Linked DNA regions of Saccharomyces cerevisiae S288C. The protein of the gene in region 1 binds, or shares a complex with, the protein of each later gene. Each region holds a gene or a part of one and is shown on either strand. Other genes may lie near its edges. A codon is read from its position in the direction of its gene.

The links. Proteins that work in one complex are often made in the same cells at the same time.
Region 2: the proteins of UME6 (region 1) and SIN3 are in contact, whole or in part, in a crystal structure (PDB 6XAW), measured with the Saccharomyces cerevisiae proteins. Residues at the interface, in NP_010493.1 of Saccharomyces cerevisiae: Asp519 (codon at 231), Leu520 (codon at 228), Gly521 (codon at 225), Thr522 (codon at 222), Ala523 (codon at 219), Ala524 (codon at 216), Ala525 (codon at 213), Val526 (codon at 210), Leu527 (codon at 207), Ser528 (codon at 204), Met530 (codon at 198), Arg531 (codon at 195); in NP_014639.1 of Saccharomyces cerevisiae: Glu407 (codon at 3,206), Phe408 (codon at 3,209), Ala411 (codon at 3,218), Ile412 (codon at 3,221), Tyr414 (codon at 3,227), Val415 (codon at 3,230), Asn416 (codon at 3,233), Lys419 (codon at 3,242), Tyr429 (codon at 3,272), Leu433 (codon at 3,284), Leu436 (codon at 3,293), Gln437 (codon at 3,296), Tyr439 (codon at 3,302), Gln440 (codon at 3,305), Ile446 (codon at 3,323), Val449 (codon at 3,332), Phe467 (codon at 3,386), Lys469 (codon at 3,392), Phe470 (codon at 3,395), Leu471 (codon at 3,398), Pro472 (codon at 3,401), Asp473 (codon at 3,404).

Annotation. Positions count from the first base shown.
Region 1 is NC_001136.10:865,738-869,490, forward strand, and holds the start of UME6 (DNA-binding transcriptional regulator UME6), read right to left. Parts: upstream 1,786-3,753; coding exon 1-1,785. Other genes in the region: MSS4 (1-phosphatidylinositol-4-phosphate 5-kinase), read left to right, coding at 2,487-3,753. UniProt on the Saccharomyces cerevisiae protein: Component of the RPD3C(L) histone deacetylase complex (HDAC) responsible for the deacetylation of lysine residues on the N-terminal part of the core histones (H2A, H2B, H3 and H4).
Region 2 is NC_001147.6:314,951-318,703, forward strand, and holds the start of SIN3 (transcriptional regulator SIN3), read left to right. Parts: upstream 1-1,987; coding exon 1,988-3,753. Other genes in the region: TOP1 (DNA topoisomerase 1), read right to left, coding at 1-437; DNA-directed RNA polymerase II core subunit RPB11, read right to left, coding at 863-1,225. UniProt on the Saccharomyces cerevisiae protein: Catalytic component of the RPD3 histone deacetylase complexes RPD3C(L) and RPD3C(S) responsible for the deacetylation of lysine residues on the N-terminal part of the core histones (H2A, H2B, H3 and H4).

The DNA of each region.
Region 1 (3,753 bases):
AGCTGTAGAATTGTTGCTTTCGAAAATGGGTTGTTGTTCGGAATTATGGATACGTAACAGAATTGGTCTTAAGACACCCTTTGATGGAAAAGATGACGAATGAGGCCTACTAGCCGGCACACCGAGCGCATTTGTGTTATTCATGTCATTGACATTGGAAATGGGTTTATCATGAGTTCTATATGGGGATGATCTCATGTTTGATAGCACTGCTGCTGCTGTACCCAAGTCGTCGTCTAGTTTGGTAGATGAAGATGCAGAATTCGGACCGAGCAATAATCTTGATCTCAATCCATCCAATTTAGAATTGATGTATTTCGGTGGAGGTGGTGGGATGTATTGTTCATTTGTATGGAAGGGACTATTTCTATTGTTACGATTCGGCAAATCGCCGTAAAAAAACCCAGTAGAAGGTCTTGACGAAGTGGCAAACGGGTCTTCACCGCGATTGATATTGTTCCGTTGAGGGTTGTTGTTGTTTGTGCTTGTAAACGAAGATGCGGAAGTTGGAGGTTGAGAAGGTATTTGGTTGAACCTAAAATGCTGGAAATTGTTTCTGCTGGTAATGGAAGAGCTGGTGTTCGCATGTCGAGAGTTTGTAGGCGTATCCGTGTTTGAACTAGCATTGTTGGAGGATGATTCATTCAAAGAATAAGCCTCATCTCTGTATTTCGAATTTAGCCAGAACGATATGTTGATTTTTGATTCGTTCTCGTCCAGTTTTACATTTGGGTCTGTTATCTCTCTATCCTTGTTGAAATAGAAGTTCCTGGGCGCCACGCCCACGGCACATTGGTCATCATGCACATTATGCTGGACCTGAGAGTCGTTAGATGGACTGCCGCCGCGCTTAGTTCCGCCGCGCAAATACCCGCCAATCTCATTGTTATTAGAGGATTCTCTCGAATCTGAGCTTTGTATCGAATTATTGTCGTTGTTGTTGGTACTGTTGTTTCTGCTCAGTATCGACATAGGCGAATTGGTAGTCTTACCGTTGTTCTTGTTGGCGCTGGTAATGATGAGCGGCAAATCCGATCCTGTGCGGGAACGGATGCCCGAGCCCGTGCCCGCGCCCGAGCCTGCTGCGGTGGTACCGGGGGAAGAAACCGCTGGAGCTTGTGGTGGCGGCAAATGTATTTTTTTTTTGGCGCCGGCGACGATAGTAGTAGTGGCAGTGTTACTATTAGTGGAGGTGGAGGAGTAAGGGAAAACATCCTCGTTGGTTGCAGTATACTGCGGCTGAATAGCACCGGAAATTTGTGGGTCTGTAGCCTGTGCGACATGGCCATTGCACAATGACTTAGGATCCGAAGGTGTATTGGAAGGCGCGAGTGGGCTGGCGGCAGCATGCACAGCGTTATCGCTGTCACGGCGATCTTGAAGTGTAGTATTGGTCGTAGTAGTAGTATCGTTTTCCTTAGGATCGTCTTTGATATCTCCGCCACTTTGGACTTTCAAACTCGGCGAACCAGACGGAGTATGCACGGGAGTGTTGTTGGGCGCACATGTCGATTTCATAATAGAAAGCAAAGGGTTTTCATCGTAGGTTGTCTTGAGAGATTCGATGCTAGCACTGGAAATTGTAGGATGGCGGGAGTTAGCTCCATCACTAACTTCATCTTCTGCATGTTTTTTGCCGTCTTGGCTGCTATTCATCAGCGTGGCACGAGATGTTTTATTGTGCAAATAGTGATGATTGTTGGCGGTTGTTTCCATCGAAAGCAGAGAGGCAGCCGCATTAGATTCGTCCATGTGTTTGCTTTGAGAGCGCGCCTTGTCTAGCATCGTGAGTTAAGGTCCATGCAAATGGTTTGAGTGCGGTAGTGTCCTAGTTCCTGTGCGCTGTGCGAAGGTGGGCGCTTCTTACGATCACTGGTCTCTTGTCCTTGTCCTCTATGTTCTTTTCATTTTTCTTTTTGACGGCGGCAGTTTCCGCCTGGCATTGGTGAAAAGGCGCCTTGAAGCACGGCGGACGTGTCACCCGGACCGAAACAGAAGAGAAGTAGCGCAGTCTTGGCAATTATAGGATGCCCGAAATCCAACGTGCATTCTATTCTCGTGATTATTCTCGTGATTTCGTGTGCAACCAATGGACTTTAAAAACTGCGCTCTACTACTTGTAGCAATGCATGTTTTGGGCAAGTGGGGTTGAGTGGAGTGTCACCTCAGACGACGTGTCGCTTTTGTATATCCGTTTTTACGGACATAAGAACGTGCCGCCCATTCTGGGAAAACAAAACACAGGTTAAAAAAAAAAAGAAAGGAATGGATGGGGAATGGGACAGAGAGGAAAGATAGAGGTGGAAATAACAAAAGCGTGACAACAAAGAAGCAAATACGGAGGGACAAGCAAAGAAAAAACAAGGACAGAAACAAAAAATAGGAACAAGAAGTAGCACATTCATAAGCAAGAGAGTACGAAACCTGTTTACACCCCCCGAGACAGTTGCCCTATATCGCTTTTCCCTATCAATAGTTTCTAACTCATGTCAGTCTTGCGATCACAACCTCCTTCAGTTGTACCGCTACATCTGACAACATCCACCAGTCGCAAAACAGAACAGGAACCATCGCTATTGCACTCTGCAATAATTGAGCGACATCAAGACCGTTCGGTGCCGAATTCGAATTCGAATCCGGATTCGAACCATCGAATAAAAAAGGATCGCAATAATCACACTAGCTACCATTCTTCATCGAATTCGGAGTCAAACATGGAAAGTCCTCGCTTGTCAGATGGTGAGTCTTCCACTCCGACCTCTATTGAAGAGTTAAACCCAACAATAAATAATTCGAGGCTGGTGAAGAGAAACTACTCAATATCAATTGATCCTTTGCATGACAACAGCAATAATAATACGGATGATGATCATCCAAACACCATAACTTCTCCCCGACCAAATAGCACTAGTAACAAGGAAATGCAGAAATATAGTTTTCCCGAAGGTAAGGAGTCGAAGAAAATAACAACACCCTCGTTAAACTCGAATAATTGTTTGGATTTGGACAATTCCAGTCTTGTTCACACAGATTCGTATATACAAGACTTAAATGACGATCATATTTTACTAAACAAGCGCGTTTCGAGGCGATCTTCCAGAATATCGGCAGTAACAGCAACTTCCACGACAATTAAGCAAAGAAGAAATACTCAGGATTCAAACCTGCCCAATATTCCCTTTCACGCTTCCAAGCATTCTCAAATTCTACCTATGGATGATTCAGATGTAATAAAATTGGCCAATGGAGATACCAGCATGAAACCAAATTCTGCTACTAAAATTAGTCACTCAATGACTTCTTTGCCTCTTCACCCACTTCCACAACCTTCTCAAAAGTCAAAGCAATATCATATGATATCCAAATCAACCACTTCTTTGCCGCCAGAGAATGACCACTACTATCAACACAGTCGTGGCACCAACCATAATCACGCTGCTAATGCTGCTGCTGTTAATAATAATACTACTACTACTACCGCTGCTACGGGTCTGAAAAGATCAGAGTCTGCAACGGCAGAAATTAAGAAGATGAGACAATCTTTGCTGCATAAAAGAGAAATGAAAAGGAAAAGAAAAACATTTTTGGTGGATGACGATCGTGTTTTGATCGGTAATAAAGTCAGTGAAGGCCATGTCAACTTTATTATAGCTTATAACATGCTAACTGGTATTCGTGTCGCAGTGTCACGTTGTTCTGGCATAATGAAACCTTTAACTCCGGCAGACTTTAGATTTACGAAGAAGCTTGCCT
Region 2 (3,753 bases), on another chromosome or scaffold:
ACCCATTTTATGGTGTCATCTTCGTTTTCTTTTTCCCACCATTTATATTCTTCCTCCTCCTCCTTCGCTTTCTTGTCCTCCTCTTCTTCTTCTTCTCGTTTCTTTTTTTCGTTCTCCTGTTCTTCCTTTTTAGTTGTTTTTACCTTTACATCACCATCTTCTTTCTTGATTTTTTTAGGCTTTGATGTCGCGCTTTTCTTTGCTGGAGGCGATGGTAATGACGACGATTGCACTGGTTCGGTCTTTATTTTCTTAGTCTTTTTCTTGGAAATCTTAGAGATTGCCTCATCACTATCATAAGGTTCCGCTTCGTCTTGAAGAGAGGCAGAGTTCATGGACGCCACCTTTCTTTTTTTTAAAGTTTGAGATAATGGCACATCGTCATCGTCATCAGAAGACAACTCATGATTAACTTTGGAAGCATCAGCAATAGTCATTTTTACGCGTTTCAAGTTTCGAGCTCTGCCCTCCCTTTAGATTTTTTTTATTTGCTGTTTTAATACTATAAGAATAGGACTCAGGTAATTAGAGTAACAGAGAAAACAAAAAAGAATATTGCGCTCGTGTTAGTGTTGAAACAAAAAAATACAGTTGTTCTTTACGTGCATCGATCATATAAGAAAAGGGAAAAAAGCCGTAAAGTAAAAAAATAAAGAGCTTTCCATGGCTGGTTTTTTTTCTTTTTTTTTTTTTTTTTTGAAGACTACAGCAGGTATTACCCGGAGTGAAAAAGGTTTCTCACACTAAAATTTACGTGTTCAAGACATTGAAGTTATGTATAAATATATATGAGCGTATATTATGTGTATGTCCGTTTCCATTCTGTTTAGATTTTATGGCTATAGTATTAAACTCCTATATATCAAAATGCGTCGTCGGCGGCTAGAGTTTGCAGGTTCCACTCGGTTTCGAAATTTGTCTTCAGGGCGCCAAGCTTGTTAATGATGCTGTTACAGGCGTTTTTCAAGGCATCCTTCGGGTCGTAGCCCTCGGTGGTCTGTATTCTCAGCTTGAAACGAGCGAAGAAGGGATGCTCAACCTTGTAAGCGGCAAACAGCACTTTTCTGTCGTTCAGAAGTTCTGCACGAATCAGGTTTCCCAACGTGTGGTCCTCCTTCTCAAACGTTATCACTACTGCGTTGGGGGCTTTGGTGTCGGGGTCAATCTTTAGCTTGGATTCCCCTTCACCCAGAAGGAACAGTTCGAATCTGTCTGGAGCATTCATGATGCAGTTGTGTCCAAATGTATCTGGTTTGGTGGCTACGTAGCTATCTATTTAGGCTGCACGGCTCAGTTCTCTCGCTCTTCTTTTAACGGACCTCTTGTGTGTGCCAAAGCAGTGAACCTAGAATTTTCGCGGACACTTCCACTTTATTAAGTCCGGGTAATGATAATATTGAGCTTGCAAGTTTTTTGAACTCGGATAGCAGCATTATCCATGACATGACACGGATCTACCGACGAGGCTTACCGACGAGGCTTACCGACGAGGCTTACCGTGATCCCTCTCCAGTAGTCTGTAAATTCTGTTTATAATTTAAAAAATCTATCTTCTACTCCAGTCTTGTAACTACTGTTGTTACGCGCTGCCCAGAGTGTGGCACACACTGCGGGGTTACCCGTGTAACGTAGAATAAACCAGTACGGGTAATGATATCGGATTTTCTAGTGATTTTTTTCCATTCGCAAAAAAGTCGCCTTCATTTTGCAGTTCTTCAGCAAACGTGATTTGCAAAACAACGGTTACTCCCCTTCCCTATTACATTTGTCTTCCCTTTTTCGCACCAGCATTGCTAATATTCGAGGCACCGTACCTAACTAATCAGCTCATTCACGTACCACATATTCTTTGTTACTTCCCTCCCTCCACAACAGGCTACGCTATTGACCGCTTTCAGTATAGTCTCTTTACCCTTTTGTTGTGTTCGTTTGAGGTTATTTGGAAAAGGACAAAATATCTAAGAAACAAGTTATACATTGTACAAAAATGTCACAGGTTTGGCATAATTCGAATTCGCAATCAAACGATGTGGCTACTTCAAATGACGCTACGGGTTCCAACGAAAGAAACGAAAAAGAACCGTCCCTCCAGGGAAATAAGCCCGGTTTTGTTCAACAGCAGCAACGGATTACTTTACCCTCGCTATCTGCCTTGAGTACTAAGGAGGAAGATAGAAGAGATTCCAATGGCCAACAGGCTCTAACTTCTCATGCTGCTCACATATTAGGTTATCCTCCCCCACATTCAAATGCTATGCCCTCAATTGCAACTGATTCAGCATTGAAACAGCCCCACGAGTATCACCCTCGCCCTAAATCTTCGTCCTCTTCTCCCTCTATAAACGCTTCGCTTATGAATGCTGGTCCAGCTCCCCTCCCCACAGTGGGAGCCGCCAGTTTTTCTTTGTCGAGATTTGACAATCCATTACCGATAAAAGCTCCTGTTCATACAGAGGAACCAAAAAGTTATAATGGTCTTCAGGAAGAAGAAAAGGCGACGCAACGGCCTCAAGATTGCAAGGAAGTTCCCGCTGGTGTGCAGCCTGCTGATGCCCCTGACCCTAGCAGCAACCATGCAGATGCTAACGATGACAATAATAACAACGAAAATTCTCACGATGAAGATGCTGACTACAGACCTCTAAACGTGAAGGATGCCCTATCTTACCTCGAACAGGTCAAATTTCAATTTAGTTCGCGTCCGGATATCTATAATTTATTTTTAGATATTATGAAGGACTTTAAATCTCAGGCAATAGACACACCGGGCGTTATTGAAAGAGTATCCACTTTGTTCAGAGGTTATCCAATTTTGATTCAAGGGTTCAATACTTTTCTACCCCAAGGCTATAGAATCGAATGCTCCTCTAATCCGGACGACCCCATTAGAGTTACTACACCAATGGGTACTACGACAGTAAACAATAACATCAGTCCATCTGGTAGAGGTACAACGGATGCACAGGAACTTGGTTCTTTTCCAGAAAGCGATGGAAATGGTGTTCAACAGCCCTCCAATGTGCCAATGGTGCCTTCGAGTGTGTATCAATCGGAACAAAACCAAGACCAACAACAATCTTTGCCTCTTTTAGCTACTTCTTCTGGTTTACCTTCAATTCAACAACCTGAAATGCCTGCACATCGCCAAATCCCACAAAGTCAATCTTTAGTGCCTCAAGAAGATGCTAAGAAAAACGTTGATGTCGAATTTAGTCAAGCCATAAGCTACGTTAATAAAATTAAAACTAGATTTGCCGACCAACCTGATATTTACAAGCATTTTCTGGAAATACTACAAACTTATCAGCGAGAGCAAAAGCCAATAAACGAAGTCTACGCACAAGTGACGCATCTTTTCCAAAATGCTCCTGATTTACTAGAAGATTTCAAGAAATTCTTGCCGGACTCTTCAGCTTCTGCCAATCAGCAGGTGCAACATGCTCAGCAACATGCTCAACAACAACATGAGGCCCAAATGCATGCACAGGCACAAGCTCAGGCTCAGGCACAGGCACAGGTGGAACAACAGAAGCAGCAACAGCAATTCTTGTATCCAGCTTCGGGCTATTACGGCCATCCTTCTAACCGAGGTATTCCACAGCAAAACTTGCCTCCTATAGGAAGCTTCTCGCCTCCAACAAACGGTTCGACCGTACATGAAGCCTATCAGGATCAACAGCACATGCAACCACCCCACTTCATGCCCTTACCATCGATCGTTCAACACGGGCCAAATATGGTACATCAAGGGAT